Linked DNA regions of Nothobranchius furzeri. The protein of the gene in region 2 purifies or fractionates together with the protein of the main gene of each other region. This does not show direct contact. Links are inferred from orthologs where the notes say so. Each region holds a gene or a part of one and is shown on either strand. Other genes may lie near its edges.

Evidence for each region.
Region 1: the proteins of bnip3lb (region 2) and fbxl4 purify together in Homo sapiens (affinity purification with western blotting; 4 studies listed by BioGRID, with this or other methods). This does not show direct contact. The link is inferred for Nothobranchius furzeri from reciprocal best matches to the Homo sapiens genes BNIP3L and FBXL4.

Annotation. Positions count from the first base shown.
Region 1 is NC_091745.1:52,301,713-52,305,126, forward strand, and holds part of fbxl4 (F-box/LRR-repeat protein 4), read right to left. Parts: intron 3,271-3,414; coding exon 3,199-3,270; intron 2,294-3,198; coding exon 2,169-2,293; intron 1,946-2,168; coding exon 1,758-1,945; intron 315-1,757; coding exon 151-314; 3' UTR 1-150. UniProt on the Homo sapiens protein: Substrate-recognition component of the mitochondria-localized SCF-FBXL4 ubiquitin E3 ligase complex that plays a role in the restriction of mitophagy by controlling the degradation of BNIP3 and NIX mitophagy receptors.
Region 2 is NC_091746.1:40,528,030-40,532,360, forward strand, and holds the start of bnip3lb (BCL2 interacting protein 3 like b), read left to right. Parts: upstream 1-1,389; 5' UTR 1,390-1,595; coding exon 1,596-1,653; intron 1,654-4,331.

The DNA.
Region 1 (3,414 bases), on a different chromosome or scaffold from region 2:
CACCTCAAACCCCCCTCAAAGGTACCGGGGCTTTCTTCACTCAGCTGTCTGTGATACGAGACAATCTGCAGCAGCGGACCAGCTCCTGCTGGTGAGCCTGTCCCTGCAGCTCGATGCTCCTCGGCAGCGAGAGCTGAGACAGTGGCGGGGTCACTGAGTGAAGCTTTTCTTGATGGCCACTTTGGGGAAGAGGCTGGAGAGTTCTTGGACGACCCGAGTGTCTATCTGTGAGCAGAAGGAGACGTCCAGGAGGACGAGGCGAGGACACGACTGGAGGAGCTTCTTGAGCGAGGCAGCACTCACCAAGCGTGTACCTGTTTGTTAGTAAAACCACACCAAAGCTAAGAAGACAACAGGAAAGACACTTTGCCTGAATTGTATGTTTACAAAACAGTAAAGAGAAATGAAAGTTTGCATCACTGAAGCAAGATGTCAAAACCTTTAGTCTGATGATAAAATCATTTATTCAGCAGCTGCTTAATTCTTCTGGGGCCTCATTTATCAAACATTGCGTAGAATCCTTACTAAAACCGTACTTAAGCCCAGCAAAAAAAATGTATTTACGCCAAGTAGGTTTGTGATCTATCAAACATGGAGTACGCACGGCTGCACGCAATCTCTGCTTTATAAATCAGAAACTATCTCGAAAGGTTCTCAGCTGTATTTTAGTCACATCTGCCCTCACCACACCCACTTACTGCCATAAACAGTCAATGCAAAGTGCCTTGTGGATCTCATGCATATACATAAGCCGGCTGTTGTAGTGCTCCGCCAATGATGATGGCGACCGCAGATCAAGGAAGCGCAATTTCATAGAAGCAGAAATTCAGGTACTTGTGGGTGAGGTGGAGAAATGAAAGGAAGTGCTTTTGCAAAACAAATAAGAGAAAATCCACGGAGTGTCACAGCGTTGCTGAAGCCGTCAATGCTGAGTTCTTCAGAGAGATCTGTGGCGGATGTAAAAAAAATGGTCCCATCTGGATCCGATCCCCAGACTCCCGGGTGGAAGTCACACGTGCTAACCAGTCTGCCAAACGGAGATCTCCCCTGTTCAACTAGCCAGGGCGCCTGATCAATCGGGTCACAGTGACAGGACACACACACTGCCACAGACGCATGATGTTCTGTCTCAATCTGTCCCCTGCTGATATTCTGCATTCCGTATTCTGCGCTTCAGGCTGTGTGTGTGTGTGCACGCGCGCGCGTGTGTGTGAGTGTGCGTGCATGTGTGTGTGCACGCACAAGTGTGTGCGTGTGGGGGGTCTTGTTCTGTGTGAAAACGAAGCGGTACAAGTGATAATGCTGCAGGATTTCATACTTTTATCCTTCTCAGCAGCAGCACTGCAGGTGCTCTTCATGTCCAACATGTGCCTAAGCCAGGTCCTTAGTCAACTTAAAGTTGCGCACATTTTTCCGCTAAGTTTTCTTTCATAAATCCCAAAGTTTGCGTGTAAAGTTGCTTATGCAGTTTTTCAACCTCGTTTCGTGCGTTAGCAAGCTTGATAAATGAGGCCGCAGGACTTTTTCTATTTATGTTTGGGCATTTAGAGCAAAACAGTCTATTAAACAATGGGGGCCTAATGCTGTGCATGTTGAATCATTCCTCTTTGATGGAGCCTTATCTCTTTAGGTAATTAAATTATCTGTACTGGAGGTTTAAAACCAAGAATCTGCATATTTTACAGACAGAAAATAAAGATAAGTAACGTGACCGTGGCCCTCATCCAGAAACAGAAACACGCGTGACAAGAGCATACCGAGTATGTCGAGATGCTGCAGCGAAGGGCAGCAGGAAGCCAGCTCCTCAATGTCCGAGTCAGAGACGGTGCGGTTGGCGGTGAGGATGAGCTTACGCAGTCGAGGCAGGCAGCGGGCGAGCTGCTGGAAACAGCCGGTGCTGCTCTGCAGGGTGGGACACCAGCCCAGATCCAGCTCTTCCAACATCCTGAGCAGAAGGAACCACGAGAACTTAAATGACCAAATCAGACGACCAGCAGCGCTGAGTTACTGTAAACACATTATTAAACTCTTTCATACGAATGAGGATCACAGCTACGTTCTACTTCCCTGCTCCTTAAACACAGATTCACCTGTGAGACCAAACAAAAGAGGACCACAGGAATCACTGACATCATTCACCAGAGCTGCTGACGCAGTAGGAGGCCTACCTGCAGCCAGAAACGAGCTCGGTCAGGCCTCTATCTGTTAGGTTTCTGCACCGCCACAGGTCCAGGGAGCGCATTGAGCGACAGCGAGCGGCTATCATGCTGGACACAACATCGTAGTCGTCGATCTACAGTGGAAGAAGGAAGCATTTCCTCTGTCAATAGGAGGATTCATGGCAGATGCCTACAGAAACTTCCTCCAGTGTTGCAGTGATTTATAAGCTCTGATTTGAGAATATTTCTGCTACATGTGGGCATCTCAAACATTAGGACTGAGAAAACAACACTGTGAGTAGAATGGAGTGGATGTGGAGTTCAGACAGAGATCTTCTTAAACGTTCTAGCCCATGTGCAGGTGGTTATGGTTAGTCAGATGTTGGCACTGGTCTTAAATCAGACTTAAAGAGCCCTTCTCCATTCCAACCTGTTGTGCATTTAAGATCCCTTCTGGTTCTAGGCGCACTAGCCTCAGTGGTCACAAACGATAAACAAAACAAGTTTGAGTTCTTGATATGTTTGTGTGAGTCTTCAGGCCTCACTCTGATGCTCAAAAGGTCAGTTTTCTCTTAAACGAGTCATCACAGGTGTCAGAAGGTGAAAAACGTCAAACCAACTTTGGGAGGAGCTGGCTGCAAAGGTAACAATAAATCAGACTTAATCATGACACTTTCTGACTAAACTGCATTTAAAAAATCACTAAAATAATCAGCCCTGGCAGCAAAAAGTGACTCCAGTTCTGCAACGCTGTCTCCCACAGCAATAAACTGGCTCAAAGATCTGGTCAAGAGGGAAAACTATGACAATGTGGTACAATTGGTTATTTAATTAATTTTAGCAGAGAATGTCTTCAATAGCATGTTAGAATAAAAACCCTGGTGAAAAACAACCTGAGCTCTGTTTGGACTTCACACATTTTCTCTGTGTTGTGGTTTCGTACAAAAACAACAGAACCCTGGGTTTCAGTCCTATAAGCTCCATGATTTACTTACAGAGTGCGTACGATACACTCATCCCACCCGTCGTTCATGCTCACCCTCAAACAGCTGCCCAGGTTGAGGTGTCTCATCTCCGTACAAAACGTCAGGATGCTCAGGACGGCTGTTTGCTGTAAACAGACCAAGGAGGAGATGTTACTGCCTTCTGCGAGGAGAGGAATCTGTCCTTATTTAAATAAGTAAAACCACGGTTACAACATAGATTATTACTAAAGAAGCAGCATTTACTAAAATACAACAAATCCTTTCTACAG
Region 2 (4,331 bases):
ATATTAATGACAAATGAATGAAAATTAAATTGTGAGTTTTTACTTCACATTTTATAAATAAAAAGGACGGGGGAACACATTTATGACGTCTTTTTAAACTAAAATTTCTAGCGCGACCTGCCTGCTTCACTAAGTCACTGCTTATTAAGGTTCGTCCAAAATTACCGTGGCCCACCCAAAAATGAAAACCTGACGCCACGCCTGTTATAAACCTCTGCAAATTGTTGTTCTTCACTTTATCAAACTCAGACTTTGTACAGCTAATGTCAAGATGTAAAATTATGAATTCAGTCGAGCTCTTCCGTCCCTCCCCTGCTCTCCTGGAAACCTGACATCGGCTGTTAGAAGCGGGAGGTGAAGAAGGAGATGAGGCAAACAGAGTGAGTGTGCGACGTAAAGAAACCAGATTGGCGTGGAGGTGAGCAAAACAGCTGGAAAAGTGTGGGTGTTGAATCCCCCACGGGTGCGATGCCCCCGGCTGCTGTCACCTGTTGTGAGCAGCGCTCTGCTGTCTGAGGGTAGGCCCCGCCCACAACGCTGTGGCTGCTGCGGTGTTTTCTTTACCGTGGGAAATGGGTAATAATGGCTCTTTGATGGGAACAGGTTGCCGACCCCTGGTATAAGATCTGAGCTGGTAAAACAAAAATCCTCATCAGCAGGCTTTTTTGAAAGTGGGGGAGGGGGGGGGGGGGGGGGGGACAGCTGCCAATCACAAATTTTGCCGGGGACATGTCCCTGGCGTCCCCGGTTAAAATGACGCCTATGGAAACGAGGAAAACATGCTAGATACTGGCTCTCAAGGACCAGGAGTGAGTACTTTAACAGCTGAAATGTCTCCCCAGCTGTCCTAGTGTCTACAAAATTAATCATGAAACTAAACAATTCAGCGGTGCTCATGATCTAAAACATGTAGGAAACTTGCTGGAACCAGACTGCAGCACCATGTATGTTAGCTCAATTTTTACAGCCTTCTGTTGGGACTTCGTAAAAATTGCAACTTCAAACTGGCAGGCTTGCCAGTTTGAAGTTGCAAGTGGAATATTCTGGCCACAGTGGGTGATGGGGGCTGGGTGGCCTTTAAGAAAACATGTAAAGGGTCGTTTTAGCACATACTGGCTCAATAATTGATGATTTAAAAATATGAGAAAGTTGCAAATCTCTTTAAATAAGTTCAAGGAGGAATCTTAATTAATCAAATTCATTTGATCCTACTCTAATCTCAGTTTTACTTTAAGTATGTATCTTATTGATATTTCACAATTAATTTATAGGCAAATATCAAAGAAATAAGAACGAAATAATTTGATTATATATTACAACAACCTGCCACACTTGTCACTGGTGATACGTCAGTGAGCACTCCGCCTCTGAGGAGCTGTGATTGGCTCGTGCTTGCTGCTCCTATGTCAGCTAACCGACGAAAACAAATCCCTTCAGCGGTGCTTCAGCCAGGACAGTTAGCTATTTTCTGAGGCACCGAGCTGGTGACAAGTCGGCGCTGTTGTATCAAAGCACGCCTGAATGTGTAGAGATAGCAGTGGCCGTTTTGCATCGACTTGAGCCCTTAATGCAACCCACCCTGTTTGCCAGCCACAATGTCCGACGCTGCTAACGTTACTTCCACAGAAAGCAACGGAGACTCGGGGCTTAACGGTAAGCTAAATGCTACTGAGCTTAGAGCTTCAGAACACACTGACGCTTTGTGCATGTGTGCGTGCCTCTTTTCTTCTGAAGCGTCTTGATGAATTTTACTCGTATCCGAAAGGCGTCTGCTGTTATAATTTCAACAATAAGAGTTGTTTATTCGGCAAGTATGTATTTTTCTCCGCGAGTTCGGTTCTTACTGAAGGGGGAGGAACTAGAACGTTGTGTTCCGTGTGTTTATTGACAGTAGCTGAACCAATAATCTTTCAGGAAGCTTGAATGACGGGCAACGGAGCCAATCAGCGATCAATACAGAGGCTGTGGGTGTGCTTTAGACTTGTCAACAAGGCTCGATGGAAGATGTCCAATTTGATTAAATCGGCGCATAATAATTTTGATAATTTACGAAAATGTTTGTATTACAGTCATTCTAATCCACAAAACGCTCTAAAACGTGTAAACATATTAAAGCTGTTATATTTGGCATGCTATTTATGGACACAACGACAAGGGGACAGAAGTTTTGGACATGAGTAATATGGGGGAAGTATCACATTTCTCAGCTGTTCCAGAGTACATGAAAGTTTATTTCTCCATGTCAAATCTGATGACAGGAAATATTGATGTTTATACTGGATTAAAAAAAACTTTAAAATGTCTAATAACCAAATTATTGGCCATGGATGCCCATTATGCTCAGTCTGTGCCTACATCTTCTCTTACATAATACAAAGCAACAAGTGTTATGTATTTCCATATGGTTTTAGACAAGACCTGTCTGTAGATCTTTTCTGGCTTAAAGGGACTGTAAGGAAGTTTGACAGTCAAAGCATGTATAGAAATAATAAATTTCTTCTTTATACATTCTCCTGCAATGCCCTGGTCCTGTCGAATGAGCCCTGGCATTTTTACTTTGATTGCCTGTTTTTCTGTAAAATCACAGAAAAAGAGAGATGCTCGGGTCGAGCAGGCTGCTTCATACGCGTTCACACTCAGGTATAGCCCGTAGCATTTGCTATCCGTAGCTTTAGCAGCAGAGAGAGAGGCAGTGCCAACTCAGCGACTTTGTCGCTGTTCCTAACGCCTAGTGACAATCCTAGCTACATTTCAGAGGACCCTTAGCTACTTTTTGTAGAACTTTCTTCTAGATATTTCCTGCAAATTAGCAACAAAATAGCCATTTTCGCTCCGAACTGTTCTTTGGATTGACGTTGTTTCAGCTGTCATCAACGATATAAACGTTATAGATAAATTCAATGTCACTGGTGCTTTAGCTCACCTAGTAAGATGTCTGACTCTCATGCGAAAAGCCTGGGTATGATTCCAGGTGTGAGCATAACTTGTGATTAGGAGTTTCTTTTTTACATTAATGATATATTTTTTTACAGTAATAAGACGCCCACATTTTTATTTGAGACTCGCCGAAAGGCATTGAATTCACGGCAATGACTTAATCACTTATATCGATACACTGAAAATCACCATATTTGATGTACCGGATCAATATTTGAATGCAGTGCATTGATTTATTATTATAATTTTTTGGGAGAATTTACAAGCAAACACTGTGCACTGTCCCAAATAAATAAATAAACAAATAAAATATGCTCTAATAATTTTATGTGGTGCAATTTAAACTCCGGCGACTAGGTGGCAGTAGTCTTTACCAGCTTATTTTGATGGAACAATGAAATCTTGTGATAACTCTGGATGTGTCTTGGAAGAGTCTTGCCTGGGTTTTCCAGTTAAACTCAGTTTTAAAAATTACAAATACTGTCTTTTAATGACGCAATGCCATCTACACCTTGAGTCACCAACTCCGGTCCTTGAGGGCTAACATCCTGCACACGTTAGCTGTTTCTACACACCTGATTCTTGTTCTTTGGGTAAGGCAGACTGGACGCCTCGCGGCGTATTGCTGCCACAGCAACACTATGCCTACAGCCAAACCTGGCTACACTCTGTCATAGACACCAACAGCTTCAACAAGGAGGGCTGCCACCGGGGACGACCAAAACGCCCCAGTACACACCCCCATAGCCGCTGCCTGCAACACATCCAGCTGCTTCAGGGTGGAAGGCGCAGCCAAACCATACAGGAAACCCCCATAATCTAAGGCCGACCTGATCATACCCTCATAAACCAACATCAAAGTGGCTCTGTCTGCCCCCCAGTCCGACCCGGCCTGACCCCGGGTTTCCACAGGAGCTGTCAGCAGTACGTTACTGCAGCAGCATGTCTTGCTCGCGTAAGCTGCTGCTTGGCCCTTCCCACGAGATGCGAAGCAGCAGGGGAGCAGCTGTCACCGACCGAGCACGAAGTCAGAGTGACTTCGTCAGTAAACACAACAACAAGCAGGAGAAAACTACAACATGGCCCCAAAATGTTTGTGTTTTATGTTCTGTCCGTTTTATAATCGCAAATACGGACCTGAAAAACAAAGGAGACCGCTAGCTAGGTGATAACTTCTCACGGGGCCGCACAGTTGGTAACCTTTTTTAAAGTAAAGCAACCGGAAGGCAGTACGTTCTTTATTCTGAAAATCTCGGGAGCTCCTCTCCATTTTGGCGTCTGATTTCCTGTCTTTCCTTCCCCAAAAATGTCGAACTTGACCCATTTCAGAGGCGTCGCGCGTAGAAAATAGAACCGGCGCGTAAAGGCCGCGACATGCTGCTCCTGAGACGCGG